2 linked regions of the Canis lupus familiaris genome follow. The protein of the gene in region 1 interacts with the protein of each later gene in a biochemical or structural test. Links are inferred from orthologs where the notes say so. Each region holds a gene or a part of one and is shown in the gene's direction. Other genes may lie near its edges. The genes, in order: PTPRC and CSK.

Region 1 (15,285 bases):
TCAATTTGCCAACATATAGAATAACACCCAAGGCTCATCCCGTCAAGTGTCCACCTCAGTGCCTGTACAGTCACCCCGACCCCCCGCCCACCTCCCCTTCCACCACCCTTAGTTTGTTTCCCAGAGTTAGGATTAGAGCAGGTGAGATTGAAGATCAAGAGGCCAGTTAAGAAACTGTTGATGTTGTCAAGTGAGAAATGAACGTGGGACGTACCAAGTAGAGGGAAAAGCCAGAGGATCTGAGAACCTCACCAGCAGAAATGAGAAGTCTTGCTGACTGATTAGCTACTGTAAATGGGAGGGAAAGCAGTAGGGAAGGCATAAACCAATGAAGTATCAATTATTGGAAGCATGAGACAAGCCTTCTGTATCTGGAGAGTTTATTACTCATCATTTACAATGATGTACCGCTGCAATATGGATAATCATCACCATCTGTACAGTGCTTCAACTTGTACAAGAACAAACCATACTGTTTTGTTCTCCAGCAGCTCTTAAGTAGGAAACCTATTTTGTTATAAAATTGGATGCATTGAGTCCAAACTTGCCAATTCAAAAATATTAAATGCCTGAAAAAAAATAAAAGGAAAAATTCAGAGGCAAACTTAAAAATTATGAACTATAAGGAATGCATACAAATTTCACAAACCTTAATGACATACTTTTCTTTAGGGAACATCTTTGGCCATAGTAATAAACAAAACCACTACTCACATCTTAACAATGGTGTTCCATTCTATTTTCTCACTCTCAGAGACTTCCTTCATATAGGAGCTGGAGGACACAGCATGTTGGAAATCAAGAACAAAATAAAAGCAAAAACAGGAATTCTTACATCATTCCATGTATGTAGAGTATTTTATGTTATTTTTTTTGGTATCAGATAAAATTAAACTCTTTTTCAGGTTTGTTTAATGTAAGATGTGCACACACAAATGATTTTGAAGCAAGTTTTCAACATTGGGTTGACAGTAAAAAATAACTGTCTATTTAAATTTAATTATAGCAAACACTTTGCACCCCAAACCTTTACAATAGACTTTGGAGGATAAACTGAATCCAGTATTTTCCTTCTACCAGTTATTTTAGAAATGGGCTGTCAGAAAGACATAACCTCTGAAGCTGAGAGGGAAAAGGCCAAGTCTTCTTTACTAGTTCTCTCTCATCTTTAGCTAATTTCAGGTATTTGCTTCAGGGGAATTGCCAATAGCAAACATTACTTCCTTTTTTTCCTTTCTGTTTTCTTTTTATCCCTTCCTCCTATCTGGGAGATTAACCGTAGATAAAAAGTACCCTGCAAACTGTTAATCATCAAGTTTAGTAGATCAACAAAAGTACAATTTCAATACTTGAATTCTGTTACCTAAGAATATTACAGGACTATATCTGGTACAACTTTAATTTTATTCATTTGCATAAACTAAAATTAGCATGGAGAAAATATAACCCAAGCTAATCAACTAGACAACCAAATACATCATATTAAAGATTGGTTGACCTAGTTAATTTCTGAAGTCCTTATAAATATGCGTTCAAAATCTGGAATTGATGGTGATGTAGCTAATCAGATCACTTGATCAGGATATTATAGACTAAAGAAATAGAAAAACAGTGAGAAATTATGGACTAAATAATTTTTTTGATCAAATAATAAATCAACTGAGATACCGTTTTAACTAAGGTTGTTAATTTGCTGTTAGTGGGATATAATAGAGAAATTAGATTTTTTACCTAAGCTATGTATTTTTAAAATTTTATATATGTATTTTTAAACATATCTAGCAGAATGATGATATTTCATGGAAAATGAAAGTAGGTATGTCAAAGATTGAGTGATCATATGGAATATTATGATATCTATTTGTTGTTTAACATGGTGTTTTATCCCATTTTTTTTCTAGGAACTTTTTTGAAAGCTTCTTTTTCTTAGATTTCTTTTTTATAATTTGTTTATCAATATGAACTGAATTTTATGTAGGGTCTCATTTCATGTACATCAGTACATTTGCATAATGCAATCTGTCACTTCTTTAATTTCACATGACAATCAAGCAGAGATTTGAATTTTTTTAAAGAAAGACTTACTACTAATTTATCTTACATAGATGACTTTAACAGAGTGCCACTAAAACATGAACTGGAGATGAGCAAAGAGAGTGAGCATGATTCAGATGAATCTTCTGATGATGACAGTGACTCAGAGGAAACAAGTAGATACATCAATGCGTCTTTTGTTATGGTAGGTACTTAAATTTCCAAAGCCCAAGATCTAACCCTTTAAAAAATGTATTTTGAAATACATTGTAAAAAAAATCTATATTTTTATGGCCATTCATTAAGTGATTTTCTAAAAGAATGATGAGCTTGGCCATAACTATATATTGATTGATACAAAAGTTTCAATTTTATTTTAATTTATTTATTCATGAGAGACACAGAAAGAGAGAGAGGCAGAGACAGAGGCAGAGGGAGAGGCAGGCTCCTCACAGGGAGCCCGATGTGGGACTCAATCCCAGGACCTGGGATCATGACCTGAGCTGAAGGTAGATACTCAACCACTGAGCCACTCAGGTGTCCCTCAATTTTTAATACTATATTTTAACTTACTGAAAGACTTAAAGATATTAAAACTTAATGTGTTGATATGAAATAAGACAATGCTTATTAGTTACAATTGATGGACCAATAGGACTCTTCATACGAATTTGAAAAATAATACAATTTGAGAAAATACAAGTATTTGAAAATGTTTATACTTACTCAGATACACAAATTGTAGGCAAGTAAGAATTTGCATATTTGCATAGCTAAAAAATTTCATTCAGATTATCTAAATTATTAGATGAGTCTGTGTCACATAACCTTTTTTCTTTTTTTAGTAAATAGAATTCTAACAAGGAAAAATACTTTTTGCATATATACCAAGTTGGATTTATTTTCCAAATTTTTCTAAAACACACTTATAGAATATTAGTTTATATCTAAGTTATCAAAACAAATAAATAAATAAATAAATAAATAAATAAATAAATAAATAAATAAAGTTATCATAAGACTGTGTAGACATCAACTAGATACATGATGAGGATCAAATAATTATGTATTTTTTTTACAACCACATTTACTTTTTTTAGTTCTTTTTGGAAAAAAAAACTTGTTTTGTTAAGATGTTCTAAACTTGACTTCATATTATTAGCTAAGTATTATCATTAATGAAATAAGATATTAATTAAATAAATATAGACATCATACTGTTTCTTGGGCCTAAGGATCTTAGGGTTTTTATGTAACAACATTGATATCAAATTAAGTGACGATATTTTCAAATGGTTATTTTAAGAATCCATTGCTCTCTCATCAGTGAGCGAGAGTAAAAGAATCTTTTTCTCCCTCTCTTTTTAAAGAGTTACTGGAAACCTGAAGTGATGATTGCTGCTCAGGGACCCCTAAAAGAGACCATTGGTGACTTTTGGCAGATGATATTCCAAAGAAAAGTCAAAGTCATTGTTATGCTGACACAGCTGAAGGATGGAGACCAGGTTTGTGTCTTTAAGAATATTTTTTTTTTTGTCTTTCTGTCATAAAATATCATTCTCTATTCTCGGATGACTTGCTTGATTGCTCTACCCTAGGATTTTTGACCCTTCTGTCACAAAGTTGCCTTTGTTCATTCTTCCCATCTTCCATCCAAGTGTTGGCAGTTGGCATCTCATGTCTGGGTTCTCCTGCCCTCCTTTCTCTGGTCCTACACTCCGTCTGTGGATCGTCTAGTGCACAGCAAGCCCAGCATCACTGCTTGCTACAAACAAGCAACAGACACATTTTCCTTCTATTTTCTTCAAATGAAAACCAAACTCCTCAGTGTGATATTTAAGATCTTCAATAACCAGACCCTCATATATCATTCCATTTTCTTCATTTTTTTAATGTTTTCCATAATTTCTATTCTGGAGAAGCAGATTTCCTGACTGAATCTTGACACCATTTCATTTTCATCACTGAGACTTAATTTAGTGGCATTCCATATGTCTAAATGTGTCCTCTATTCCCATTTTGATCCTTTTCTTCTAGCTAAATAGAACTCCTGAAAAATTTATCTACAAAATGCCTTCTTTATGTTCATATAATATTTATAATTATGAAGTTGGAGGTGAACCTAAGATCTCATTTGATCTGCTTAATGTCTGAGCTGTGTATTTGATCTTTTCCTTAATACCTTGAGTTATCAAAATCTCATTGGTAGTAGACGCTCCATAGTTGTGGCACATTATGTGGCATATGTTAAATCCTATTTAATGAATACTCTCATAAACATGCCTTCACCTTCTTTCTTTTCTTTAATTCCCTACCCCTGAACATAGGACCTGTTTTATTTTAGGTTTTCTTTCTCTTTTCTTTTCTTTTTTTTTTCTTTTTCCTTTTTATTTAAATTTTATTTTATTTTTTTATTTATGATAGTCACAGAGAGAGAGAGAGAGAGAGGCAGAGACATAGGCAGAGGGAGAAGCAGGCTCCATGCACCGGGAGCCCGACGTGTGACTCGATCCCGGGTCTCCAGGATCACGCCCTGGGCCAAAGGCAGGCGCTAAACCGCTGCGCCACCCAGGGATCCCTCTTTTTCCTTTTTAAAAAAGAAATAACATGTTCAGATTTCCGGCATGGAATCCTAGTGATCTTTTCTTTCATCTAAATTGTGAAAGCCAGGTACCAAATGCTGGTTTAGGCAGGAACACTTGTTGCTGTCAGCGGTTGTGAGACTGTAGTTGGTGTAGGACCATTTGCAGAGAGAGAACACATTTTTGTAATTCACTTGCTCTTCAGTCTGACCCTTTACTTAGGTACACAGTCAACTCATATAAAGCTGCTCAGGGTGATGGTCCTCAAGGTACAGAGACAAAACTCCCAAAGATGCTTTCTCAAGGACCACTGGAGGGGCAGTGACACTTGTGATTGCAGTGGTCACGATCAACACCAGCTCAATCTATAAATCTCAAAGAGGTGAAAATAAGGGTATGGAAGGAAGAATCAAATCTCAAAGACCTACACCAGTGGTGACAGAGCCATCTCTGTGGTGTCCTGGCCACTTTGGTTATTCCTCAGTTCCCTTGATTTGCACAAGGAAACACCAGGTACTGTGGAGTGGACGCCCCACATACGTAAGGTAGATTTAGAGTTTTATGGCCAGCTTTCCATTTTAGAAGACAGTTAGTCATTTCCACTTAATAAAATAGAGGGAAAGAGAGAGGGGAGAGAGACAGAGACAGTAAGAGGTGCACTGTATACCTTAAAAGCAAACAGAACACTTGTGTGGAAGTTGTTGAATCTTGAATCTTATTCTTTCTTAGGAAGCCTGTGCTCAGTACTGGGGAGAAGGAAAGCAAACATATGGAGATGTACAAGTTGATATGAAAGAGACCAACAAATCTTCAGCTTATACCCTCCGTGTATTTGAACTGAGACATTCCAAGGTATGTAAATCATTTCAGGAATACCTATTTTTGATCTGGGAATTGATCTTCTAGAGAAACAAATGTAAATTACTCTCTAAAAGCAAAGGAAAATCCACCTGTTTTCAGAATCAAACTTTAAGAGGAGTTAAAAGAAAGTAATTGTGGCCAAAGTGTGACTATCAAATTATTAAATGGACTGAACCTGACTTGAATTCACATTCCCTTCTTTTCTGGTTTTAGAGGAAAGATTCTCGGACTGTGTACCAGTACCAATATAATAACTGGAATGTGGATGAGCTTCCTGCAGAACCCAAAGAACTAATCTCTATGATTCAGGCTCTCAAAGAAAAATCTCCCAAGAATTCCACTGAAGGGAATAAGCATCACAAGAATGTGCCTCTCCTCATTCACTGCAGGTGGGTGGGATTTGATAAGATATTCTCTAAAAATCATCACAATGCTTGACTTCATGGTTTACACTTCCTGTTAAATTCTCTTTATCCTGACCTATAAAATGCATGACCACAGTGAAAGCCTCCTGTGGCGTCACTCTCTCTGTTTCACTCCCACAGCTTAACTATATAGAAATATGAGAGCGGTGATTATGCTACAGTTTTAGTGTTAGTTTATAAGTTTCTTAATGCCAGCGTCACCTCATGTTTGACTCCCAGTGCCTAACATTGAATCTGGAATGTCATGTGTCCTGGGTGAATTAATGAATGAATGGTAGGATGCGTGAACAGATGGATGGATCCCACATTTTATTTATGCTTATGTGCATTGATCCACTCTGTTAGGTACTAACAGAATCCAGAGGAATGAATGCTTTCCTTCGGTAAACATTTCTTAAGTTATGTATTCACCCAAAAGACTTTAATAATACGTATAATTTTTGACCTTATTAGTTTCTGCTCTGTAGGCTCTTAACTTTCCTCTGTGAGAGATGCCTACATATCTACCTTAAATAAGAGATATTGAAAGACGGATGCATAATATAAAATGTTTACATAAAACATATTAAAGTAAGTGCAAAATGAAAAATATAAAGTAAAATGAGAAATGTAAATTTAGCAAGATGCTTTTAGAATTTTTGAGAAAGCTTTGTTATTATTATTACTATTATTAGAATTGCATACACTATTATCAAGTCCTTAGAGATACACTATTTTTCAGCCTTTATCAGCATTTTCAAAGGTGAAAATTTATGCAGAAAGAAAGCTAAAGAAGGCAAGGTTAAGCTTTAAAACTATATGTGTTTCCTAGGATATGGCTGAAAGCCTATTTTATGTCCTTTAACTAAATTTACGTGCCATAAATAAAATCCTGCTAATAACATATTCTCTACATTGAATCTTTATTATAACGTACTTACCTACAGTTAAGTAAATCATTGAATTGTCCTCTTTTTAATGAATAATTCTACTACGTATCATTTTTCTATTGACGCAGAAATCTGGACATTTGTGAAAACACATGAGAGAGGCAGAAGAAAGGAGAAAAAGCAGGCGATCTAGCAATATACAAAATATTGGGTCTAGTATTTCTGGTTTTATTGATTTCTAGGCATGTCTTTATCTTCCCTAAATCTTGACGTCCTCATCTGTCAAATTGGCATTCTGGCACTTGTCCTAGCAACTTCCTTACAACTCCAGATGTAAATTAAAATGCATTATAACCCATAAGGTACTAAACAGAAGAAAACAAAATATTTTTAAAGCCTGAGACAAGTATTTTTTTAAAAACTATAGGATTATTATAGTCTCAAACTGAAAAGGTTTGTCCAAATAATGCTTTTAGCAGAAATGTGTTGCTCTTAAGAGAACACGAAGTGAAGAATGCATTCCATCTCTTTCAGTTTTTATTCTCATATGACTTTCTCCATAAAATGTAGGATTTTTTTCCTTTTAAAACTTTTCTTCCTTTTATAGAGATGGATCTCAGCAAACAGGACTATTTTGTGCTTTGTTAAATCTCTTGGAAAGCGCAGAAACAGAAGAAGTAATAGATGTTTTTCAAGTAGTAAAATCTCTCCGCAGAGCTAGACCAGGAATGGTTCCCACGTTTGTAAGTAGACCTCACAGTTGCTTTTGAAGTGTTTTGCATTCTTATTTTGATGGCTTCTTCTCTCTTTCCTTCCTCTTCCTCTTCTCCAGTCCTCTACTTCTTTTTCTTCCCTTCCATCCACCTTTCTAGTCTTCTTTTCTATCTTCCTTTTCTACATAAGTCACATGAAGTCATTATTAATATAAATAAAAGAACTAATTAGAGCCTGCCAGCAACTTGTTGTGGCAATCCACGGAGAACGTTTCTTCAAACGTCCATGAATTCCCTAATTTCCTCCATCTTCACTCCTGTATTAATGTGTATTGCTATGTAACAAACCACCCCAGAATTAGGGACAGAAAATAAATTATTATAGTTCAATAGTCTATTGGAGCAACTGAATAATTCTGCCAATATCAACTTCAGCCAGTTTGGACCAGGCTTGCTCATAGTTTTGCGGCGGCTGATGTGTCTGCTAGGGTTTGGCTTGTCCAAAATGATCCCTACTACCAACAGATGGTGGCTGCTAGCTTTTAGCTCCGGCAACGGAGGTGGGTAGACACCAGGTCTTTCCTTCTCCAGAAGACTGGCCTAGGTATATTCATATAAAGGCAACCGAGTTCCAAGAAGTAGGCAGCGGTGTGTGAGAATTCTTGAGGTACAGGCTTGGAACTGGCCCAACCTGCCTTCCTCTGCATTTTCCTTATCTAAACAAGTCACAAGGCCAGCTCAGATTCAAGGAATGGGAAAGTTGGCTCCACCTCTCCTTGAAAGGGTCTGCAAAGCCACACTGCAAACAGGTGTGGATACAGAGGATAATGAGCGTGGCATTTTTGTAGTCAAGCTAACATGGATCATCTGTAGAGGGTAGTCTGGAAAGGCATAACTAGTCACCATATCAACCTAACCAGTCACTCAGATCTCTGCAGCATGTAATCGGGCAGGACCTTGAGCTGGCATATAATTGATTTTAAAAGTGCACTGAGTGCCTGTTATGTGCATTTGCCATTAAGAGACTCACTGTTTAGTGTGAGGAAAAGGCAAAGATTTACTAAACAATGTAGTAATCGAAATGACAGAGAGATTATGCGAGGAGCCTGAATGACAGCACCAAATTTAATCTGTGGCTACCCAGATTGGCTTCCAGAAGCAAGTGACTTCTGCTACGATACTTAGATGAAGGATGCATTGGCCTTAACCAAGAAGATAAGCACAAAAAGTGGCCTCGTGGGCCATGGAAAGGAGACACCACGTGGTGGTGCGTGAGGGGTATGAACATGCTTGATGTTGCTCCACAGCAAACTTTGAGGACTACCCCGCAGTAGGACCTTTAGAACTGTAAGGGGACTAAGCCATTTAAAATGCTCTTTTGATAACAACATAGAGTAGTTCCTGTTATCCAAGACTTTCAAGTCAACGACTAGTTCTTGCTGCTTTTCACTTGACATAAAAAATCATCACATACACTTTCTTTATCATAATTACATACGCTTTCTTGCTTCTTTCTTTTTACCAGGAGCAATACCAATTCCTCTATGATGTCATTGCTAACACCTATCCTGCCCAGAATGGACAAATAAAGAAAAGCAACAATCAAGATGATAAAGTTGAATTTGCTAACGAATTGGTGGACAAAGCAAAGCAGGATGCTAATTGTGTTAGTTCTCCTGGTGCTCCTGATAAGACCAATGAAGGAAACAAAGAAGATGAAGGTACTAAAGTCACAAGTAGCCCTGAGGAGCCAGAACATTCTGCCAATGGTCCTGCGAGTCCAGGTTTAACTCAAAATGCATAGGAAAAGACATATACAGGACTCAAGCATTGTATTAGGTGTTATTTCTGTTTTTTTAGGAGTAGGAGGACAAAATAGATATACAGTGGATTAATGCAGTACATTGGACCAATATGTGAGAAGCTTCTATTTTACTACTGTAGAAACATATTTAAGACAATTTTGCTAAAAACTTTGTACAGTTTTATGCATATTTTAAAATTTTACCTATCACTTAGCAAAAAAATAACTTCTTTGTAGTCTTTGGGTGTGTGTGTCTGTGTGTGTGTGAGAGACAGAGACAGCAACAGAAAGAGAGAAAGGGGTTGCTTTTAAGTGAATTTAAATGCTTTTGAGAAACCTTGCCCTTTTTTTTGAAGAAAAAATACATTTTATACAGAACATATTAAGTTAGTTTACAGGACCTACTTTTTAAATCATAAATTGTGTGTGGCCTCTAAGGATAAAATGTACATTTCTAGAATGACCTCAAGATGTCCTCCTTGTTCTACTCATATATATCTTATAGTTTACTAGTTTACTTCTAGAAATAGACATAAATGTAGTATGTGTGTGTGTGGTTACTACAAGAAAGTTAACAAAATTAACATTTGGAAATCTTATATTCCATATGTTAACGTTTAGTCCGTATCTTTCAAGCTCATTTAATCTAATTTAAAATTTTCAAGCAAGCTTATCTTGTTAGATTCACACGGTGTTTATAATTTTGCAGCCTGGGTTATCTTCTGTATAATATGTGAAATTCATTGCTTGATACTTTTGACCAAGAATTATGTTTGTTGCAGCTGAATTTAAATAAACATCTTTAAACAAATACCATATATATTAATATTCATAGGCGAAAATAGAATTATGTCAACATACTTGTGTGAAATATTTACATTTGAAACATGATCTAGCTATTTTTATGGAATACAACACTGATATGAGAAATGCAATATTGCACATGCATACTTTTCATGTTAAAATCCATCCTTAACTTTCACTCAAGTGCCTTTACTTTGTTTTTTATCCATTTGATTTTAATTCCAGGATAGTTGATATACAGTGTTATATCAGTTTCAGGTGTACAATGTAGTGATTCAACAATTCCATACATCATCCAGTGCTCATCACAACAGAAATGCATTGGCATTGAATTTCTCAAATGTTTAAACTGCAATAGCTGAATTCTGGAAAAAGCCCAAGGGCCGTAGCTTGGTGAACGGATAAAGAAGATGTGGTATATATACACAATGGAATACTACTCAGCCAAAAAAAAAAAAAAAAAAAAGACTGAAATCTTGCTATTTGCAACAACATGCATAGAGCTAGAGAATATTATGCTAAGGGAAATCAGTCAGAGAAAGACAGATACCACATGTGGAATTTTAGAAATAAAACAAACAAGCAAAGGGAAAAAAAAGAGAGTGAAAGACAGGCCAACCAAGAAACAGACTCAACTATAGAGAACACACTGCTGGTTACCAGTAGGGAGGTGGGTGGGGGATGGGTGAAATAAGGGATGGGGGTTAAGGAGGGCACTTGTTGCGATGAGCACTAGGTGACGTATGGAAGTGAATCACTGTATTGTTACACCTGAAACAAATAAATACTGTATGTTAATTAACTAGAATTTAAATTAAATCTTAAAAAATATTCTTAGACTGCTTTTACCAGAAATTGACACCAATAATCATAATGAAATTGAATCATTATCTTTTCTTATACATCATGTATTGTGTTACATGTTCCTATATGAATTATATAAGTGCATATTAAGTTGTAGGCATAATGCAATGAACATTTGTGGGACATTTCACAGATCTCCATTTAAAAAAAATTTTTGAGAGAGAGTGCACCCCATGCATGGGGGACGGGTGGGGCAGAGGCAGGGAGAGAGAGAATCTCAAGCAGACCCCCCACTGAGTGTCAAGGCTGACAGGCGGCTGGATCCCCACGATTGAGATCATGACCATGAGCCGAAATCAAGAGGACCGAGCCACCCAGGTGCCCCTGTCACAAGTCTCAATTTTCATTTTAAAAGATCCATAATCTAATTAATTGTTTAGGATCATACAAAATTTAAGAAAAATGTCATTTTTTTTTTCAAAAAAGTAATGAACAACGCTGTTTCTGGTGAATTCTGCATCAGCTTATGACATTAGTCACACGCTACATTTAGGTTAGGTTGGTTTTCTATATCTTCACACTCCTGAGTGATTTTAAATGTCTTAACTATACATCATCAATTACTTTCCATTCAACTCAATTTATCTTATTCATCTTTCTAATTCTTTTATTAGACATGGGAAGTTAGCAATTAATTCTTACATTATTGGACAGTACCCTGTTCACATAAGAAAAGAAGTGAATTTTAGAACGAAAGGGTAATTTTTAATTTATATTGGGTTGACTTACTATTGCCTTACTTATTAATGTGAAAGGGGAGCCTAGAGTCACCCATTAAGGGGACCACGAAGAAATAAAGCTTGCTTTCACTTCTCTCGTTAGTCACTCAAACTTTTATGCCTTGGTTTCTCCAACTGAAACAAGATCAGTTGCCATTTACTAGATAATGTTAAAAAATACAGTTTTATATGTGGCAGACTAGTGTCTATTTTATCTGCGAGCTGCTTCAAAATACAACCAGCAAAAGTTCTGAATTTTAAATAGTGTACAAGTAAAGTTTTCCTCTGAGATCCCAGCTGCAAGTGGCATCTTCCAAATGTGGATGTTGTGTGTTTTCCATGTGTATTTTTTACTTGAGTCTATTCCTTTGAGATACAGAGTAAATACTTAGAAAAATAGAGCCCTGGTAGTTTCTGTTAGTTTAAGAAGCAAGTTGGAAACTTCATTTTTTTTCTTTTTTCAATGAGAAGTTGTGGTAAAGGAAGAGCTAGAGGAAGGGGTCAGAAGGCCTATTACTCTGTGAGACTATCAGAAGACGGGGCCCTTTGTGTTAGAACATGGAATTATATGTCTATGATTTTTATTTTTAAAAAGAAGATAACACCTGAGTTATAGACTTATGTCTAGGACTATCAGTTGCATTCCTAGAGAACCTATCATGAGATGTAGAAGATTCTTTTTCTGAAGTTTGGCACTGCCATTAGGAATTCCAAGACCTCGTTAGAAAAATTAAGCAAAAAGCTCCAGTTTAATAAAGCTTGGTCCATTTTAGGGTTAAAGCTGCGGGTCCCCTTGTGTACTTATTGGGCAAAAAGAGACTATGCTATGTTTCTTTCGGAGTTTACTTTATTTCTGGTACCAAGATTAATTGGAGATACATTTACTATTCTTCAAATTCAGCTCCCAAGCCATTAATTTTTTACAGTTACAAGTAAATATTTGCAGAAAAGATTTATACATTTTAATAGTCCCTTGCAATTATAAAACTTTGTGTAGCGATTACCTGAATGTCTTTGCAATGATTTAGAAGTATAAGCTTCTAGTCAAAACTCTAATACATGTGCAGTGAAATTTTCACATCTATTTTTTTCTCTTTTCCCCCTAAAAACACTGGATACAAAGTTTATTATTTCTTTTAACTAACTAAGATTGATCTTAATTTTTAATTGACACCAGAGATTTGTTATAAAATGTTCTCATTGCACTATAATAGGTCAAATTAAATAGGTGGTAATTGCTCCTGCTTAATCATAACATGTTTCTTGGTATGAAGACTTTCAAATGTACAACTTCAAAGGAAAAGAGCATTTGTTAAAATGAGTAGAATAGGCTATGCTTTCATTCTCTTATACAAATTTTACAACTGGAACTATCTGAAGGGTCTTCAAAGAGACACATTTCAGAATTGAGCTTTTTCATTTCCTATTACAGGTGAAAAGATTTACATTGCTAAAGGGTCTATTTTCTGTAACCATTCCTTTGTGAACTGCTTTACATTTCTCTTTACATTTTCTCAGCAAACACTTTTTTTTTTTTGTTCACTACTAACCCAAATGAAAGGGTGTGCATGCTGTGTCATTATTTTTAAATAAAAAAGTAATAATCATCGTTATAACTAATGTTTATCCAGGCATTATGCACGCCTGGTATTTTGTTAATTGTTTTGCCTGCATTTGTTTATCAGGACAAATTCTGTGCAGCACCGACTCTTAGTATCTCCATTTTATAGACAAGGAACTGAGGCTTAGAAGAGCTTGGTAGCCAGCGTGTGTTGACACATGTAGCAGGTGACAGAGCCAAGATGTGAACCAGCTCTTACTGGCACCACAGGCTGTGTTCATAACCTTTGGCTCTTCTGGCTCTGAGTATCAACTATGTTCATGCGTTTTTGAAAAATTAGTGGAGAAGATAATCTGAATTTATTTTACGTCTTTTCTTTATTCATGATTAAAACAAAAACAAAACAAAGCCACGTGTAACATGCGCTCTCAACAGCATTGCACAAGGTAGTCAGCTTGGTTGAACTCACAGCACTGAAGTTATTACACAAAATAAACACACTCTTAAACATCCATGGGAAAGGATCGTTCTCATAATGCATATAAACAAAGATCACCTCATCGCTAAAGTGAGTGCCAGGAAATAAAATGCAACAATAAATCACAAATGTCACTGTTCCATTGTCTCTCAATTTGGTAATCAGAACAAGTTCTTACTGTTTGGATCACATTTCAGTGTGTTTGTCAGAGAACCCATCAATCAGTGCTTGAAACAAGTTAACAGGGCACCATAAAATGCAAACCACATTTATGGAGAGAATGACTCATCCAGTCTCTCTGGTAAGCGAGTCCAAGGGAGCTTGGTTCTTTTGACCTATCGCTGTCCCCAAACTTAGGACGCCAGGTAACTGGCAATGGACTTTCTATGTAAAATCACACATGCATTGCCCTTTAGAAAAACCAGGACCTCCTTGATTCATAGGCACCTTTGTATCACAGTTAACGTGGGACCTCTGTCCACATATTTAATTCTCCTGGAAAGAAGAACTTCCTGGGTTCATTACTATCTCTCCTACATAGTAGGCAAACCAGATCTGCAGAGGCTGATGAACTGTCAAAGAATAAAAGTATTGTCTTGAGTTTTCATGCAATTGTGCAATCTTTTTTCAGGTACACTCTAAGAAGTGGGGGCAAGATGGGGCACTAGGAAGGGAAATAATCTGCCCATTATAATTACATGGGATGGAGGGTGGGATAGTATCAGGACACCCACAGAACCTGTCCCCCCCAACCCCACTGGTTGACACAGACTCAAAGCAGAGGGTTCCTGGCAGTATACTTAGGTAACTGTGTACTGAGAATTTTTACTGGTAATCAATAATTCAGATTTTTCATTAATTCAGACTATATTATCCTTCATGAATTATACTTCATGGCTTTTGTTATGTGTTATAAGTCATAAAACAGAAAGGGGAGAAAGGAATTATTATATTTGTAAGAAATTCGCATGTAGCAAATCCCATTTATATTTAATTTAATTACTTATTTTCATTGCATTGACAACCTAAAGACCGGGATGGATATGCAGAAAATCTAATACCATAAATTAGGATAGGTTTTCTTTTTTTCATAACTGAAATAAATAAAAAAGTAAACTTAATGGTCACTTATTAACTGTTTTAACTTACTTTAAATTGTCTTGGCCAAGGGGCACTTGGGTGGCTCAGTCAGATGGGCATCTGACTCTCGATTTCGGCTCAGGTCATAAGCTCAGCATTGTGGGATTGAGCTCCCTGGTAGGCTCTGTGTTCAGTGGGGATCCTACTTGGGATTCTCTCCTTCCTCCTCTGTCCCCCCCTCTCAAATAAATAAAATAAATCTTTAAAAACTAAAAAAAAATAAATCGCTTTGGCCAATACATTTTCCATCATTTATCGCATCTTGAGATGGATCTTCATAAAGAATAGCAAAGAGCGGTTGGCTATCTAAAGTTGAACACGCTGTAGAACATTTTAGCAATTATTATTTTGACATTATCTCTTGAAAACATGCTTTCCTTCCTCTACACACTATTCTTTTCCCACAGGGGTGCATACTGATCTGGTGACAA
Region 2 (16,387 bases), on another chromosome or scaffold:
TTTGGGGGCTCCCAGTTCTCCTTGCTTCCCCGACTCCCTGCCAGCCTGGGCTACCAAGAAAGGCCTGCCTGAGGCTGCAGCCACTGACCTCAGTGCTTGGGCACAATGCCCAGCCTGTTCCTGGGACCCCAGCACAAGGACTGCTGGGAGTCGGGTTTGGGGCAGGAAATCAGAGTGAAGCGCTGACTTCACAGAGTTCCAAAGCCCCCTGCCCCCTGGTCCTTGGCGGGTGTGCTGACAGCTGCTGTCCCTTTGGGGTTAAATATAGTCCTGTCAGTTAGGGGACCTTGGTGTGGCGCAGCCGGCCTGGCTTCCTCCTCTCCTTTGTTGGTTCATTCATTCATTCAGCACTCACTCACCGAGCAGCCACTCTGGGCTCAGCCCATGCTGGGCACATGAGTCAGCTCCCAGCCCCCCCCCCCCCCCCCCCCCCCCAGCTCCCAGGCCACGAGCAGGGAGCTTGTCTCTGGAGCCTGGGGATGTGTGAGAGGCTGGGGAGGCCTTGGAGCACGGCCGGGGAACCAAGGGAGGCTCCTGGCAGAGGCGGTTTTCAAAAGTGATTTATTTTCAACCTTATTTTTAGGGGGAAGTTAGTAATAGATACATGTGGTTTAAAAAAAAGAAGTCAGAAAGGACAAAATAGCAAACTCACAGTGGAAAGTAATCTTCCCTTAAACTTGACACCCCCCCCCCCAGTCCCAGAGACAACTCGTGTTGCCAGTTTCTTCTGTCTTTCAGGGATGATCTGCGTGGATTGGAGTTAGGGATGCCTTGTGTGTCACGTACCATGGATCAGGTCCCTCACCTTGTCTTTTCTCACGGCCTTTCACTTGGAGTATTTCAAACCTACTAAAAAGCTGAAATAGGGCACCTGGCCCACTCAGTGCATGGAATATGTGACTTTTTTTTTTTTTTTTAAAGATGTTATTTATTTATTCATGAGAGACACAGAGAGAGAGAGGCAGAGACACAGGCTCTAGAGAAGCAGGCTCCATGCAGGGAGCCCGACATGGGACTCGATCCCGGGACTCCAGGATCACGCCCTGGGCTGAAGGTAGGCGCTCAACTGCTGAGCCACCCAGGCGTCCCGCGTATGTGACTCTTGATCTCAGGATCATGAGTTTGAGCTCCACGCTTGATGTAGAGATTACTTTTAAAAAATAATAATAATGGGGTGCCTGAGTGACGCAGTTGGTCGAGCGTCTGACTCCTGATTTCCACTTAGGTTGTGGTCTTGGGGTTGTGAGATCAAGCCCGGCTTCTGGCCCTGCACTCTGTCCCTCCCCGTACCCCCACTGTACTCATGTGCATGCACGCTCTCTCTCTCTCTGAAATAAATAAAATCTTTAAAGGTAATAAAAATAATAAGAAACTGAAATAATAATGTAACAAATACCCAACCATCCCTTACCCAGATTCACCAGGTCTTAACATTTTGCCATATTTGGTTTCCCTCTTTCATATACCGAGATGCGTATTTGTGGAGTTTTTTGCTGGTGTGTTTGTTAGTTGCAGGCATCCTACATCTTCATTTCTAAGTACTTGAGCGTGCACCTCTTACGTAATCACAGCACCAGGATCGTCCTTAGGAAAATTGACATTAAAATTCCATAATATTACCTTACATTTCCATTTTTCCAACTGTCATCCAATGATTTTTATAGCTACTGTCTTTTTCCCTCTGAGCCAGAATCCAGTTCAGGATCTCTCACTGAATCTTGTTGTCCTGTTCCTTTCACCTTTTTTCCCCCAGCTTTATGGAGATGTAATTGCCATATAAGGTTGTGTAAGTTTAAGGTGTACAGCGTGGTGATTTGATGTACGTGTGTTGCTAAATAGTTACCACGGTAAGGTTAGTTGACACCTCCTTCACCTCACAGAAATACCATTTTGTTGTTGTGTCACATGCCTCTAGCGTCCTGTTTATTCGAGAACATTCCCCAGCCTCTGCATGTTCCTTGGTTTTGTCTCTTACGACATTAACTTCGAGAGTCCGGGCCAGTTGTCGAGGCTGTGCCTGATTGCATCTTCCTGATTTGAGTCAGGTTAACGGGCTCCGTGGGAATCCTACCCCCGGGATGCTGTGCCCTCCTCCGGGCGTCCCGGTGGGAGACGCTCTGTCGTTGCTCTCATCGTGGGTGATGCTTGATTCGGTCGCGTGGTTAACGAGATAGATCGATAGGTCTATCTGCCAGGTCCACCTGTTGTGTAGATGCTTTTCTGCTTTCTGATTCACCTGTGGGGTAGTCTTTGGAAGCCATGTCACTGTCTCGTTCCCCCCAGCAGCTTTTCCTTGAGCGACTTGAGCTGGCTTTTTGCCCTTCCGGCTTGCTGCATCATACGGGTGCTGTGTGTCAGCACCTGAAGGTCGGGGCCCCGTCACCGCAGGGACTGTTGTTCCCTCTTAGGGATACCCGGCTGTTTATTTGCCTGGTCCCTCACTGATGGACATAAAGATCGCTTCCCAGTCGCTTGCCACCATAGACAATACCACAGGGACTTTGTAGGCACACGTGAAACAGAAGCAATGCCTCAGTTGTGACCCGGAGGTTGAGAGGAAGTTCCTTGGGTAGAGAAGAGGGAGGGAGTGGAGAGGGAATGCCAGGCGAGGTGGGAACAGCAGGTGGGACACAGGTCCGTCTGAGGTGCCAGAGAGCCAGCAGGTCCCAGAAAAGTCAAATGACTTTCCCAAGGTCACACGCAGCAAGTTGGTGGCAGAGCCAGGAATAGGACTCAGAGCCCCTGACTCCCAGGACAGCGTCCCAGCAGCCTCCACAGAGTGGCCTAAAAGTAGGTTCATGTGACTCCAAAGGGACCCCTGTGTGCCAGGGGTCCAGACCAGAGCCCTAGGTTCACAGGGGCCCCTCCCAGCCATCCTGGCTCTTTGTGTCCAACCTGGAGGGAGCTGGCCCCTGGCCCCTCAGGACCCTCGGGAGGGAGACCTCTGAGCCCGCCTGGGCTTGACGCCAGCAGGGAGGAGCTGTGCAAGAGCCCACGGCCTGCCCTGCAGCATTCCTGGGCAGGGGCGGGTCGAGGCGCCTGGCAGCTGCGTGCAGAGCAGCCCTGGCTGCTGTGGAGGTACCGCCAACCCATTGTACAGGTGGAGAAACCAGGTCCTGAAGTTTTAGGCAATAGACCAAGGGAGGGCTCAGCTCCTTCCCCTGCCTTCCAGATGTCTGGTTGTCGGAGCCTGGCCCCTTGAGCTAGCCCACCCTGGCCTCTCCAGTGGCGCTTGCCCGTCCTCTGGGCGCCCCATGGTGCCGGGGCTGGGCAGTCGAGGCCCGAGCGTGGCAGGGTGCTCCCGGGAGGTGTAAGCCCCCTTGCCTCTTGGCAAGACCACTTTGCCTCTTGACCTCGCTCAGGGTCCTCGTCTACAATATGGGGGGAGTAACAGGCTCAGTTGTTAGAGGATGAGATGAGCCATTACGTGCCAAGGACGGGGCCTGGCACAGAACAAGTGCTCAGAAAACGGCCTATTATTATTTTTATTATTATTGTCATGTCAGTGGGGAGGCGGCGGCAGCAGCTGCAGGCCAGGAAGGGAGTGTTTGGGGAGGGTGACTAACGGGGCCACAGCCACCATGCCCTCTGTGGTGGCCCAGTGGTGGCAAGCTGGGGAGGGAGGGGAGGCCGGCCGAGGGTGTGGAAAGCTGGCAGGGCCTCTGTTCAGAAGGGCCTGAGGGTCAGGGCCCCCGCCAGCCCCAGTGGAACCCTCATTTGGGTTCTGGGCCGTCACCCCTAACGAGCTGTGTGACTTCACACAAGTTGTTCGGCCTCGTGAGCCTCAGTTTCCGCTCCTGTGGAACGGGGGCAAGAGCAGCTCGCGGCTCACCACGGTTTGTGGGCCACGAGAGCCCGGCGGGCGGTTCCTGTCCCCGGCTCAGCAGCTCAGCCGTGCGACCGTGTGTTCGGTGGGGGCGATGTCTCTGCTCGGCCTCGTGGGCCCCGGGCTCCTGTGCCGACAGCAGACGGCGGCAGGTTGGCCTCGGGACGCGAAGCCCCGCGTGCCGGAGGAGGGAGGCCTTTCTGTCCGGAGGAAGGGGGCGGCTATGCCCAGCCCCGCGCCAGACCTTCTCAGGCCCGAGGTCTCCTACTCCCTCGCAGCCTGCATGCAGGGCACGCCTGTCCCCGCCTGGCAGGGTGAGGAGCCGAGGCTCAGAACGGTTGAGTCATTCTTCCGAGTTGCACACTCGACGGAGCCAGGTCCGCCTGACTGGAAGCCGGAGTGAGGCCGGGAGTGGTGGTTGTCCCGGCCGTTGCTGCCCTCAGCCGCGCACTTCACTGCTGAGGCCCCGGTTCCTTGTCTGAAGCCCCCGCTGAGCTGCAGGGTTGGTGCTGGGCGGGCACCTCCGGACTGTCCCGACAGCAGCCGGGTAGGGTGCTCAGATGGCCGGGCTGTGTCCCACCGCCCTCCCGGGGCTCGCGGCCGGGCCCCTTCCTCTCGGCTGTCCCTGTCGACCTGCCCTTCTGGCTCGGCCTGCACCCCACCCGGTGGAACCTTTTCCAGCTTGCCTTCTGTCCCCAAGCTCTCTGTTCTTCAGAGTGTGGCCCTGGGGCTCCCCGCTCCGAGAAACGGGCCTCGGCCCTGCGGTCCTTGTTCAGCTCACAGGCCAGGCACATGCACTCAAGCGTCTCCTCCCACTGCCCAGCCTGGCCCTAGACCTTGTCCTTCCTGTCAAATGCATCTGGGAACAGGACTCCTGGGGTTTCTCTCCTAACACGCAGGGACGAGTCACTGGCCTGTCTGAGCCTCTATCCCCTGGAAACAGAGAACAGTGGCTCCAGCCCCACTGCTTCCTGAGATGGGGGCTCGGGGGGCTCTGGGCTTCAGGAAGGCAGCGGCGGTCAAGGGGGTGCCAGGCTGGGGCCACAGAGTCTGTGTGGCTTGCCGCCCTTGGAGCGTGGGTCAGCTGGAGGTTTTCTGGAGGGGTCACCTGCACCGAAGGAAACCACAGAGTGCCCCAGGCGTAAGGGTACAGCTCCGTGAGGTGCGGCCAGGAGAACTCCGCTCTTCCAGTGGCTCTACCCCTCCGAGGGCAGCTGCCGTCCCGCACCGTGGGCTCAGCCAGATTTTGAATTTTATACGGTCTACGTGGGATTACCCAGCCTGTGCTCTCTGTCGGGCTTTCGGGTTGATACTGTTTCAGAAATTCATCATCGTGGTTTCATTATTCGGTCTACTCGTGTTTGCTGCTGCGCAGCATGTACCGCTCTGGAAGACACCACAGCTTAGCCATCTTACCCTTGATGGGTATCGGGGCGGCTCCCAGCGTGAGGTACAGATCCTGCCGCACCGTTGCTCTTGTGCACATCTGGGCTGACACCTGCCCTGTGTTCTCTTGGGTGTGTACCTAGAAGTGGGGCGACCGGGCCACGAGGTTGGTGTACCTTTGTCTTTAGACATGTTGCCTGGGCACCTTTTTATAGGCTGTGGGACTAGGAGGCCCACGGAGGAACAGGTGACTTTCCCAAGTTACGTTGCACCTTTCCTAGGCTCACAGAGCCGCCCTGGGCTCCCTTCCTCCACAGACCACGTGACTGACCTCTGGGCCTGGGGCTTCTCACCCCCAGAGCTTCTTTTGCCTCTGTTGGCCATTTGGTGGGGCTGTGAGGCCCCCATGGGCTTAGGATTGGTGACCCCTCCGTCCCTGGGGGCCCTCAGCCTTCATGCCCCTGCCTCCCCCTATCCGGCGCTCTCAGGCTGCCAAGAGTCCCAGCTCTAGGGGCCTTCGGTACGTGTTCACATTGCTGTGGGGAAGGAATGGGGGGCTCAGTGACTGGGAGGAGCCAGCTTCTCACACCCCTCCTCGGTCTTCCCTTTCTCCCTGCAGCTCTCATGGTACCAAGTGACGGGGTGGCCTTCCTGTGACAGGAGGACGCCAGATCTTCTGAGAAGATGTCAGCAATCCAGGTACCGTGGGGGCGGGGGTTGGGGCAGTTGAGTACTCCCCCCACCCCTGGAAGGGTGCTCAGTGGAGGAGAGAGAACGAGGCCTCACGTCAGTCTGCTCCCCTTGGCCCCACCCTGGCCTTCGACAAAGGAAAATTCTAGGGTGTTGTACTGTTGGACCCAGGGCCCTCAAGGTGGGCGTACGGACCTGGGGGCAGTGGGGGGGATCTCAGCTGGAAGGCACCCAGAGTTCTCGGGGCAGGAGGTTTACAAAGAGCAACGAGAGTCTGTGTCCTGAAGGGCGGATGGGCAGTGGGTGGAGATGGGCCCCGGGCTCCCTCCACCTGCCCACCTGTCGCCTGCCCTACAGGCCGCCTGGCCATCCGGTACAGAATGTATTGCCAAGTACAATTTCCATGGCACTGCCGAGCAGGACCTTCCCTTCTGCAAAGGAGACGTGCTCACCATTGTGGCGGTCACCAAGGTAATCGGGGACCTCACAAGGCCACACCTATGCCCTCCCGCCTCTGGGCATTCTAGCTGGGTGGGGGCTCCCCTGCAGGGGGGCCAAAGGAGGGCTGAGCGTGTGTCTGGGCTGCCCTCTCCCCAGGACCCAAACTGGTACAAAGCCAAGAACAAGGTGGGCCGTGAGGGCATCATCCCAGCCAACTACGTCCAGAAACGGGAGGGCGTGAAGGCCGGCACCAAGCTCAGCCTCATGCCGTGAGTACTGCTAAGGAGCGCTCGGGGTCTGCAGCGTGGGGAGGAGGGAGGACAAGAAGCCCTGGTTCCCTAGAGGAGTCAGGAAAGCAGCGAGCGGGCGTAGGGGTTGCAGCGCGTGAAGGCTTCTCAGGCGGAGGGCGAGGCGCGGGTGCTAGGTCCCGGGGCCTGGGAGGCCCGAAGCAGGAGGAGCGTGTGGGGGCCATGGGGAGGTGGCGCAGAGGGAGGGCCTCAGACAGCGGGCCCGGGTGGCCGGGGTCCGTGCCTGGAGCCGCCACGAGCCCTGGCCCGGCCTCCCCGCAGCTGGTTCCATGGCAAGATCACGCGGGAGCAGGCCGAGCGGCTGCTGTGCCCGCCCGAGACCGGCCTGTTCCTGGTGCGGGAGAGCACCAACTACCCGGGGGACTACACGCTGTGCGTGAGCTGTGACGGCAAGGTGGAGCACTACCGCATCATGTACCACGCCAGCAAGCTCAGCATCGACGAGGAGGTGTACTTCGAGAACCTCATGCAGCTGGTGGAGGTGAGCGGGCCCGGCTTCCGGCCCAGTGTCCCCCCACTGCTGGCTGGCCTTGGCACGTGCCGCCTCCGGAGCCTGCGTTTCCTCACGCCCCTCGCCTTGGCGAAGCACCTGCTGCGTGCCAGGGTTGACTTCTGGCCCCACGCACCCACCACAGGTGGGGGACAGAGAGGCTCAGAGCGGTTTCGGGACCTGCCTCAGGTCACACAGCTGTCAGTTAGAGACGCCAGGGCCAGAGTCGGAGTCTCGCCCCAGAACTAGGCCTCCCTCCAGGCCTCAGAGCCACATGTCAAGCCGCGCACATAAGCCTGCCCTCATGAGCTGCACCTTGGTGGTCAGGTCACAACCCTGCGTGGCTGTGGCCACATGTCCCTGCAACTCCCAAGGCCAGTTCTGCTGGTCCTGTTGAGGCCACACCTGGCTTCCCGGAGCCCCAGCGGCCTCCCAGACGCCTCCTGCGCTCGTTCTCAGCTCCTTGCCCCTGCTAGCCCCTGGCTGGGGGGAGGCCTCCTCGCGTCTGGCCAGAGGCCAGGGCTCGCCTTCCGCCTCGGGATGCTGGTGAGGCCCGTGGCCCCAGTGGAAGTGAGGGTCACAGATCTGAGTCGGGACCTCCCTAATCCTTCCCTGGGGGGACCCGGGGAGCTCCGGCCGGTGGGCTCGCCTCGGCCGCCCTCTGGTGGTTGGAGCCGGGCAGTGCGCGTAGGCGGCGGGCGCGGCGCTGGCCCTGAGCCCCCGCCCTGCCCCCGCCCTGCCCCCCGCAGCACTACACCTCGGACGCGGACGGACTCTGTACTCGCCTCATCAAGCCAAAGGTCATGGAGGGCACGGTGGCCGCCCAGGATGAGTTCTTCCGCAGTGAGTGCCATCCCCGCCCCCGTGCTCACCTGCTTCCCCGCCTCCTCCCTCGGGCTCCGGGCACCGCCCCCAGCCCTGGAGGAGCCCTCCCCGGGTCGCCACACACTGTGACGCCTGCTCTGGCTCCACCCCTCACTGACACCCCCTCCCCCGCCAGGCGGCTGGGCACTGAACATGAAGGACCTGAAGCTGCTGCAGACCATTGGGAAGGGGGAGTTTGGAGGTGAGCGGGAGCGGGTGGCGGCCGCGGGAGGGCCGGGAGGGCCGAGGGCTGGTGGAGGGTCCAGGGAACAACCTCCAGCCCTCGCCCCGCAGACGTGATGCTAGGCGATTACCGAGGGAACAAGGTTGCTGTCAAGTGCATTAAAAATGACGCCACTGCCCAGGCCTTTCTGGCTGAAGCCTCTGTGATGACGTGAGTCGGGCTGCGAGTGGGTGTGGAGGTGTCCCCGGGCGGGGAAGGATGGGGGGGCCTGGCAGCGCTGACCACCCCCATCCTGCCCCAGGCAACTTCGGCATAGCAACCTGGTACAGCTTCTGGGTGTGATCGTGGAAGAGAAGGGCGGGCTGTACATTGTCACGGAGTACATGGCCAAGGTGCGCCCCTGCCCGGAGAGCCGCCCCCGCCCTGGGCTGAACACTCCAGCCTTCCCCGCCGGGCCCCTCACCGCGCCCCTCTCCCCGCTGAGCTTTGTAGTCACCAGGCAGGGCTCAGCTTTTGTCCTGACTCCTCCTTCATTCCCTGTGACCTCACCAGGCCTCAGTTTCCTCCCCTGTGGGATGGAGGTAGTGCCAGGGTTTGCCTTAGAGATTTGTGAGCTCCGAGCTCAGGGAACTGCCGGGGCGCGGGGGCCAGCTTGCAGCACCTACTGCTCGTTCCACGGTGATGCCCCGAGCCCTCCCCTGCGGGTTCCCCTCAAGTATTTACCCAGCCCATGGTTCGAGAGGATGGGGGGGGGCAAGTCTGACCCGTGGGGCCAGTCGGTCTGTCTGTCCTGCTTTAGGGAAGCCTGGTGGACTATCTGCGGTCGAGGGGTCGATCGGTGCTGGGCGGAGACTGTCTCCTCAAGTTCTCACTGTGAGTGAAGCAGCACCCATTCGGGGGGGCCCTGCCGTGCCGTGGGTGCCCTGTCTGAGGGGCTGTGTGGCTGGCTCTCTCCCAGAGATGTCTGTGAGGCCATGGAATACCTGGAGGGCAACAACTTCGTGCACCGGGATCTGGCTGCCCGCAACGTGCTGGTGTCTGAAGACAACGTGGCCAAGGTCAGCGACTTTGGCCTCACCAAGGAGGCCTCCAGCACCCAGGACACGGGCAAGCTGCCAGTCAAGTGGACGGCCCCGGAGGCCCTGAGAGAGAAGGTGGAGGGGGCCTAACCCTGAGCCCGGGGGCTGCTGGGTGGGGGGCCTGGGCTCCCCTCCCCCGCCTCCGCCAAATCCCGAATCCCCAGGGTCTGACCCTGCTTCTCCCATCCACGTGGCAGAAATTCTCCACCAAGTCTGACGTGTGGAGTTTCGGAATCCTTCTCTGGGAAATCTACTCCTTTGGGCGAGTGCCTTACCCAAGAATTGTAAGTTGGGCGCCGGGCCTGGGCAGGGCTGGGCGGGGCGGGGAGGGGGCTAGGGAGCCTCCTGGGCCCTGCTCGGTGTTCTGAGCTGCAGGCCTGCCCTCGGGACCTTCGGGGCCTGCTGGCTCTGAGGCCCAGGTCTGAGGGGGATCCCCGGAGCTGAGTCGGGGTCCCCCGGGGGGTCGGCCCTGCACACTCACACCACCCGCCTGCCACAGCCCCTGAAGGACGTCGTCCCTCGGGTGGAGAAGGGCTACAAGATGGACGCCCCCGACGGCTGCCCACCTGCGGTCTACGAGGTCATGAAGAACTGCTGGCACCTGGATGCTGCCACAAGGCCCTCCTTCCTGCAGCTCCGGGAGCAGCTCGAGCACATCAAAACCCACGAGTTGCACCTGTGACCGCTGCCTCCTACCCCAGGTCGTGGGGCTGCGGGACTGAACCTGGAGCGATTGTGGGCCTGGTGCCCCCACTGGCTGGGCCCCAGCCTGAACTGAGCCCAGCGGGCCAGTGGGCCTCCTTCCTCTGCCCCAGCCTGCGCCCCCTCTGGCCCCGCAGAGACCCCGCCTAGGCCTGGCACCTCTTCTCATGGACCCACCCGCGGGGTGTCGGGAGCCCCACCGAAGGGCCAAGGAGGGAGGAGGCTGAGGAGCGTGAGGCAGATGCCCCCCGCCGCAGTCAGGCTTCTCCTGGCCTCCCATCTCTCGCCTTCTTAGAGTTTTATTCCTTTCCTTTTTTTGAGATTTTTTTCCCGTGTGTTTATTTTTTATTATTTTTCAAGATAAGGAGAAAGAAAGTACCCAGCAAATGGGCATTTTACAAGAAGTACGAATCTTATTTTTCCTGTCCTGCCCGTAAGGGTTGGGGAGAGCAGGCCCCTCTCTAGGGACCCGTCAGCCCAGCCTCGTTCCCCGTTCCGTGTTCCGTGTCCCGTGTCGCCTCGGTCGCCCGTGTTTGCGCTTGCCCATGTTGCACTGTTTGCATGCGCCCGAGGCAGACGTCTGTCAGGGGCTTGGAGTTCATTCATGTGCCGCTGCCGCCCACCCACCTGCCTTGTGAGATGGAACCGTAATAAACCACTCCATGAGGACACCGCTGCCGGCCTCGGCGCTTCCTCCGCCGAGCCTGCCTGGCCCCCCGGCCCCCTGTCCCTGTGCCATCTTGTCCATCCCCCTGTCTCTGTGAGTGGGGCTGTGCTTGCCCTGGGAGTGGAGTCGGGCGGGGAGCACGGCCGGGAGATGTAGCCGCGCTTTGTGTCAGCTGCACGAGCGAGTGTCCTGTGTCTGCCGTGGGGGGAGCCCTCACCCCCCGCCCTCCCCCACCATCCTGCTGTGGCGGGGGCTTGGCCCTGGGGCCGTCCCGAGCTCGGGACCCTGTGCACAGGGTAACGTCTGGGGGTCCCAGCTGCCTCCCCCGCCGTGTGGTTCAAGGCGACAGCACGAGGATGCCTGGCACCAAGGATGGGGGAGGCGCCCAGGCCTGACCAGGTGGAAGCGGGGTCCCCCTGGTTGGAGGCAAGATAAATGTCACCTGCCTCAGAGAAAGTGCTGACCCCAGAGGGTGAGGGAGGGGGAGCCTCTGAGCCACTGGTGGTTCTCACTGTTGACCCAAGATGACACGGCGCTGGCCTGTCCCACGTGTGCCCAGCCGCGTGCCTGAGGATGAAGGTGGGGGGCCTTCCCCACTCTGCCTCGGGGGCCCCAGATAGAGGATGAGGACCCACCAGGGCATGGTCCCCCCTCCCTCAGGTTGCCTGGGTGTGGTGGTCAGTGCAGAAGCTGTAAAGATTGGGGGAGGCTCCTTTCATCATTGAGATGGGCACCTCGCTGGGTGGGGGGTGGTTTCCCTTGTCCGGGGGCGACGCTGACCCCGGCCCAGCTAGCAGGACCTGAAATCCAGGGGGTTCGGACTTGGCCGTGTGTCTCGTGCCTGTGTCTCAGCCCCCGGCAGCCCGGCCGCCAGCGTCTGCCTTCCAGCCCGGAGCAGCAGCTTCCTCACCTCCCCTGCCAATGACAGGCTCATTTCTCCAAGGCCAGACCCTTGGTTCATTCAACGACAGACATGTGAAAACCTGCTTTGTGCTAGGACTGGGGCTCGGCAACGAGCAAGACAGAGCCGTGGAGTTAGGGAGGCCATCACACCGACGACTACAAGCTGCTAAGTGCTACGGCAAAAACCATGTGTAACGGGATCGGATCTTGTCTGTGGGTCAGGGAGGACTTCCCGTAAGAGGCAGCACGGCAAGCTAGATGAGGATGACCAGGAGGTGTGAGGAGTGGGCCGCAGCATTCCAGGAAGAGAAGCCTGGACTGGAGAGAGGGCAGGCGAGCCTTGAGGCAGAGGGGGGAGGCCAGAGCAAAGGTTGGCCTTTGTCACACTGAAAGCCACGGGGAGCCAGTGACAGGCTCTGAACAGGAAGGTGTTGATACAAACACTGTGGCTGCTGGTGGAGGAGTCCCCCCAGGCAGCAGAGGGGGGCTGATGAGTGTAAGAGAAGGGGCCGGGAGGGGACGACCTCCAGAGGGATGTGAGATGAAGCCCAGGGGACTTGCCAGCGGAGTCCTCCTGCAGGTGCAGGGCGGGCAGAGTGGCCGGGGTAAGGGGGCGGCCACCAGGAGGCTCCTGTCCAGGAGAAGGCACCCGGAGTTCTAGTAAGGGCATGGTGAGTTTTAGGTGTGCCTTTGACTGCCAAGAGGCCTTGAGCAAGTTGTTGGAGCCCAGAGGCTGGAGCAGGGAATCGGAGAGGTCAGAGTGCGGCTTGGATCTGAAGCCACGTCCAGGGAGGAGGTCACTTTGGGAGGACGTGCAGAAGGAGCCCGGGACCATGCCTGGGGGAGTTCTTGACATTCAAAGGTCAAGGAGAGGAGGCTGGCCAGGCAGGGTATGGAGAGGGAGGTAGCAGACCGCCCTGTGGCAGAGGCAGGGGACAAGCCGGCAGGTCCCTTCTTCCCAGAAGAGCAGAGCCTGCCACTGGCGTCAGCTAGGAGGCCGCTGGGCCTCTAGCGAAACCGGAGTTCGTGGGGGTGCAGATTCTAGGCCTGGCTGGGGGGAGGGGGGTGAGCCCTGCGGGAAGGTCCCCGGCTTGGGAGATTCAGCTGTAAGAAGAGGAGAGGGTGACGGGATTTGAAGGCAGCAGAGGGGGAGCAAATCTGATGCCAAAGGGAGGGACGTTTGCCTTCAGGCTGCATCCACGCGCTGAGGGGGCGGAAAAGGTAGAGGCGGGAATGGTAGTGACCCAAGGGGGAGGCTTCCTTAGAGCAGGAGGGGTGGCTGGACACCCGCCAAGCGCGAGGTGTGCCGCGATGGAGCCCGCACTCGGAGGGAACCGCGGGCCGCGCCGTCGCTGGGAACAGACCCCGAGGCGTGGAGGGGGCTCAGATCTGGAGCTTGTGGCGTCCACGGTGTACGCGCCATGGCCAGTGTCAAGCCACCAACCTGACTTCGCTGAAGGCACAGGTGGCCGGGGAGTTTTGAGAACTGGCTCGGGTTCAGACACCTGCACTGGTGCGTGGCCACGGGATCCGGAGAGAAGGGCTGGGGCCAGGGCATGCAGGCCCAGAGAGCTGGATGCTCCCAGTCCTTCCACCTGCTGACATGTGAGTCCGCCCTGTTCTTCCTTCCAGTCTCTCACTTGACTTATGGCTGTTTTGTTCCTGTGCTGGCCGCTGGCCTAGCGGAGACGAGCATGTCACCCTCATAGAGAGCCCACTCAATCTCAACTTGGTGCCCAGAAATCTGGTGAAGTGGAGGGGGCAGGAGACGCTAGGTGGCCTCTCAGACACCTGGAGTTCGGACAGGGACAGAGAATGAGGCGTTTCTGGCAAAGGAAGGGCACTGCCTGGGCAAAGTGCTGAGATGCCACAGCCTGATGAGGTCCTGAAGTGTGGCTGGGCCCCAGGTGCCAGTGGGGGTCTTTTGGGAGCAAGCAAGGCTGGAGAGGAAGCAGGGCCCAGACCCCACCTGGCTCTGCAGATCCCACGGGTTTAACTTGCTACAAATGACCAGGAGCAATTGAAGGGTTTAGGACCAAGGAGCCATGTGGTCAGATCTGCATTTGAGAATAATTCTGGTTACAATCTGGCCCTGGGGGTGGGAGTGTCCAGAGTGGAGACAGAGAGACAGTGGGGAGGCTGCAGGCGGCCAGCCAGGAGGTGACTGCCGGTGGCCTGGGCTGCGGAGGCCATCGGAGGTGCAGAGGAAGGTGAGCACAGCTGACACTTTACTGAGCTGAGTGCTCACTACGTGCCACGCCCTATTGTCAACACACGAGATGTGTCATCTCACGTACCCCCCAGTCAGCTCTTGAAGATACGTGCTGTGAGTACCTCATCCTACAGATAAACAGGCTTGGAGGTTAGAGGATCAGGTAAGGTGGCCTATGAGTAGCGAGAGCAAATTGAAGAGCTTGCTCCGGTTTGACAGGGCAGGGGTGGGGGTTGCCATTCACGAGCCCCTAGCCTTGACAAGGGCAGGCCAGACGTTGGACAACAGCAGTTTGAGGTGGACGTGTTCTCTGGGGACCTCCAAGTAGAGATGTCACCACAGAGTTAGACATTCAGGCCCATAGCCCATTAACAGTAGAGTTTTGGGGATCATGAGCACCGCAATGGTGCTGGAAGCCGTGGGCTTGGGTGAACTTGGCCAGGGAACTCAGGGAAAGCGAGGACAGGCCCCAGCACAAGGAACCCCAGAGGTGCCGGGAGGGAGGGCAGTGGGTGGCAAAGGCGCACAGAGGAGGCCGGCAGGGGCGGGGATGAGGGGGGCCCTGCAGGGGAGCCAGAAGGCTTCTCAGAGTGTAGGGGAGGGGGCGAGGAAGTGGATGCTCATGGCAGTCCACCCTGCAGAGACCGGTTGACAAGTGTCCCCTGGAAGCAAAGGACAGGGGTCATTGTCAGGCCCTCCCAGAGTGGTTTCCTTTCCTTTTTTTTTTTTTTTTAAGATTTTATTTATTTATTTGAGAGAGAAAGCATGAGTGGGGGGAGGGGCAGAGGGAGAGGGAGAAGCAGACTCCCCGCAGAGCAGGGAGCCCCATCTGGGGTTGGATCCCAGGATTCTGGGATCGTGACCTGAGCCGAAGGCAGACGCTTAACCAACTGAGCCACCCAGGCGCCCCTGGAGCGGTTGTGATGGGGCAGTAGGGGCAGGAGTGAGAACTGAGTGGCAGGTGAGGGAGCAGGGCCACACTGGGGCCTGCTGTTGCACAGCGTGGCCGTGGAGGTGGGGACAGCGGGGTGCAGGTGGCTGAGCACTTACTGTTGAGAAATGAAGGTTTCCTTTTAGCGTGTCCTAAGCTTTTCCATTTACAGCCTTGATTTTAATTAATTTGTAGGGTTTCGGTAACTTAATCCCATTGGGAACTTAGAAAGTACAGTAAAACTTCAGCTAGCCAGATTCTTGGCAAGTGAGCCACTCTGGAAAATGAGCATTTGAGTGAAAATATTTGAAATATAGGATTTCTTTTTTTAAAACGTTTGTAGAATGGAAATAATCCTATAACCATATGCAGGAGAGAGAAGTCACAAACACCCACATCCTCACCATCCAGCGTGAACAGCAGTTCCAGACTAATCCTGTGCCCAGCACCCCCACCTCTGAGCTCTGAGCTCCCGGACACTTGGAAGCAGATCCTAAGCATTTGATCAATTTATTGGTAGAGCTTTCCTACATTTCTCTAAAAGACAAAACACATTTTTTAAAAAGATTTTATTTATTCATTCATGAAAGACAGAGAGAGAGAGAGAGAGAGGCAGAGGCACAGGCAGAGGGAGAAGCAGGCTCCATGCACGGAGCCCGACGCGGGACTCGATCCTGGGTCTCCAGGATCAGGCCCTGAGCCCAAGGCAGATGCTCAACGGCTGAGCCCCCCAGGCACCCCAAGACAACACTTTTTAAAAAAATAATGTGACCACAGTACCATTATTACTCTTAAAATCTTTAACAGCAATTCCTTATTTAAATCAAGTATTCATTGTTCAGATTTCCCCCAATAGTCTCGTTTCCCCCCAGTCGGTTAGTTAAAACGAGGCTCCAGACAAGGCCACACGTGGCGTTCATTTGCTGTTGAGACCCCCTTTCTCTGCAGGAAACTTCTGTGTTGAGGAAACAGGCGCTCGGAGGCCTGAGTGTCCGGGGACGCGGGAGGAGCGCCTGGGACAGAGAAGGCGGGACGGGGGTGGCCCGGGACATTGATCTGCGGGCAGGAGGCGGGGCGGGGCCCATCCTGAGCCAGGGGAGAGGCCGCCCGAGGGACGGCGGGTGATGGCCCGAGGTGCGCGAGAGGTCGGGGTCAGGCTGGCGAGGAGGTCGCCCCGGGGAACCGGCCTCTGTGGGGACAGGGAGAGGACGGCGACAGCAGCTCCTCCCCGCCCGGCAGCCCTGGCGCCCGCCCTGGCCTCCCCCTGCGGCTGCAATGCTGGTGGCCAGCGGGGAGCCCCTGCTCCGCCTCGCCCTCGCCCTCCTCCTGCTCCTGGGCGCCCCCGGCCCTGAGGGGGCCAGTTCTCTTCAGAGGAGGTTTGAGTATAAGCTCAGCTTCAAAGGACCAAGGCTGGCGGCGCCCGGGGCTGCAATACCCTTCTGGAGTCATCACGGAGGTGAGCGGGCCGGAGGGGGGGACGGGCGGGTACCGGCCGAGGGGAGCAATGAGGGGGGGTGGATCAGCCGCGTGGGGGGGGGGGCTGGCCAGCTCCAGGCAGCTGTGACTCGGTGCTGGCGGGCCCAGGGCCCAGGGCCCCTGTCACCCACCTCCTCCTCCGCCCACCACGGCCCACCCCGCCCCCCGGCCTCAGTTTCTCTCCCTGCCTTCCTCTGTCTCCGCCTAGGGCTTCTCTCTCTCCCTCTG

The links.
Region 2: of the proteins of PTPRC (region 1) and CSK, one has a biochemical effect on the other in vitro, tested with the Homo sapiens proteins (2 studies listed by IntAct). The link is inferred for Canis lupus familiaris from reciprocal best matches to the Homo sapiens genes PTPRC and CSK.

What each region holds. Positions count from the first base shown.
Region 1 is NC_049228.1:3,916,136-3,931,420, reverse strand, and holds the end of PTPRC (receptor-type tyrosine-protein phosphatase C), read left to right. Parts: intron 1-754; coding exon 755-845; intron 846-2,105; coding exon 2,106-2,239; intron 2,240-3,404; coding exon 3,405-3,539; intron 3,540-5,345; coding exon 5,346-5,468; intron 5,469-5,690; coding exon 5,691-5,866; intron 5,867-7,378; coding exon 7,379-7,514; intron 7,515-9,009; coding exon 9,010-9,288; 3' UTR 9,289-10,099; downstream 10,100-15,285. UniProt on the Homo sapiens protein: Protein tyrosine-protein phosphatase required for T-cell activation through the antigen receptor. Acts as a positive regulator of T-cell coactivation upon binding to DPP4.
Region 2 is NC_049251.1:38,298,784-38,315,170, forward strand, and holds the end of CSK (tyrosine-protein kinase CSK), read left to right. Parts: intron 1-5,097; exon of another isoform or gene 5,098-5,732; intron 5,733-5,831; 5' UTR 5,832-5,896; coding exon 5,897-5,911; intron 5,912-6,259; coding exon 6,260-6,373; intron 6,374-6,499; coding exon 6,500-6,612; intron 6,613-6,912; coding exon 6,913-7,132; intron 7,133-7,890; coding exon 7,891-7,984; intron 7,985-8,141; coding exon 8,142-8,207; intron 8,208-8,299; coding exon 8,300-8,399; intron 8,400-8,490; coding exon 8,491-8,581; intron 8,582-8,988; coding exon 8,989-9,062; intron 9,063-9,147; coding exon 9,148-9,343; intron 9,344-9,465; coding exon 9,466-9,552; intron 9,553-9,767; coding exon 9,768-9,950; 3' UTR 9,951-10,646; downstream 10,647-16,387. Other genes in the region: LMAN1L (protein ERGIC-53-like), read left to right, coding at 15,959-16,139. UniProt on the Homo sapiens protein: Non-receptor tyrosine-protein kinase that plays an important role in the regulation of cell growth, differentiation, migration and immune response.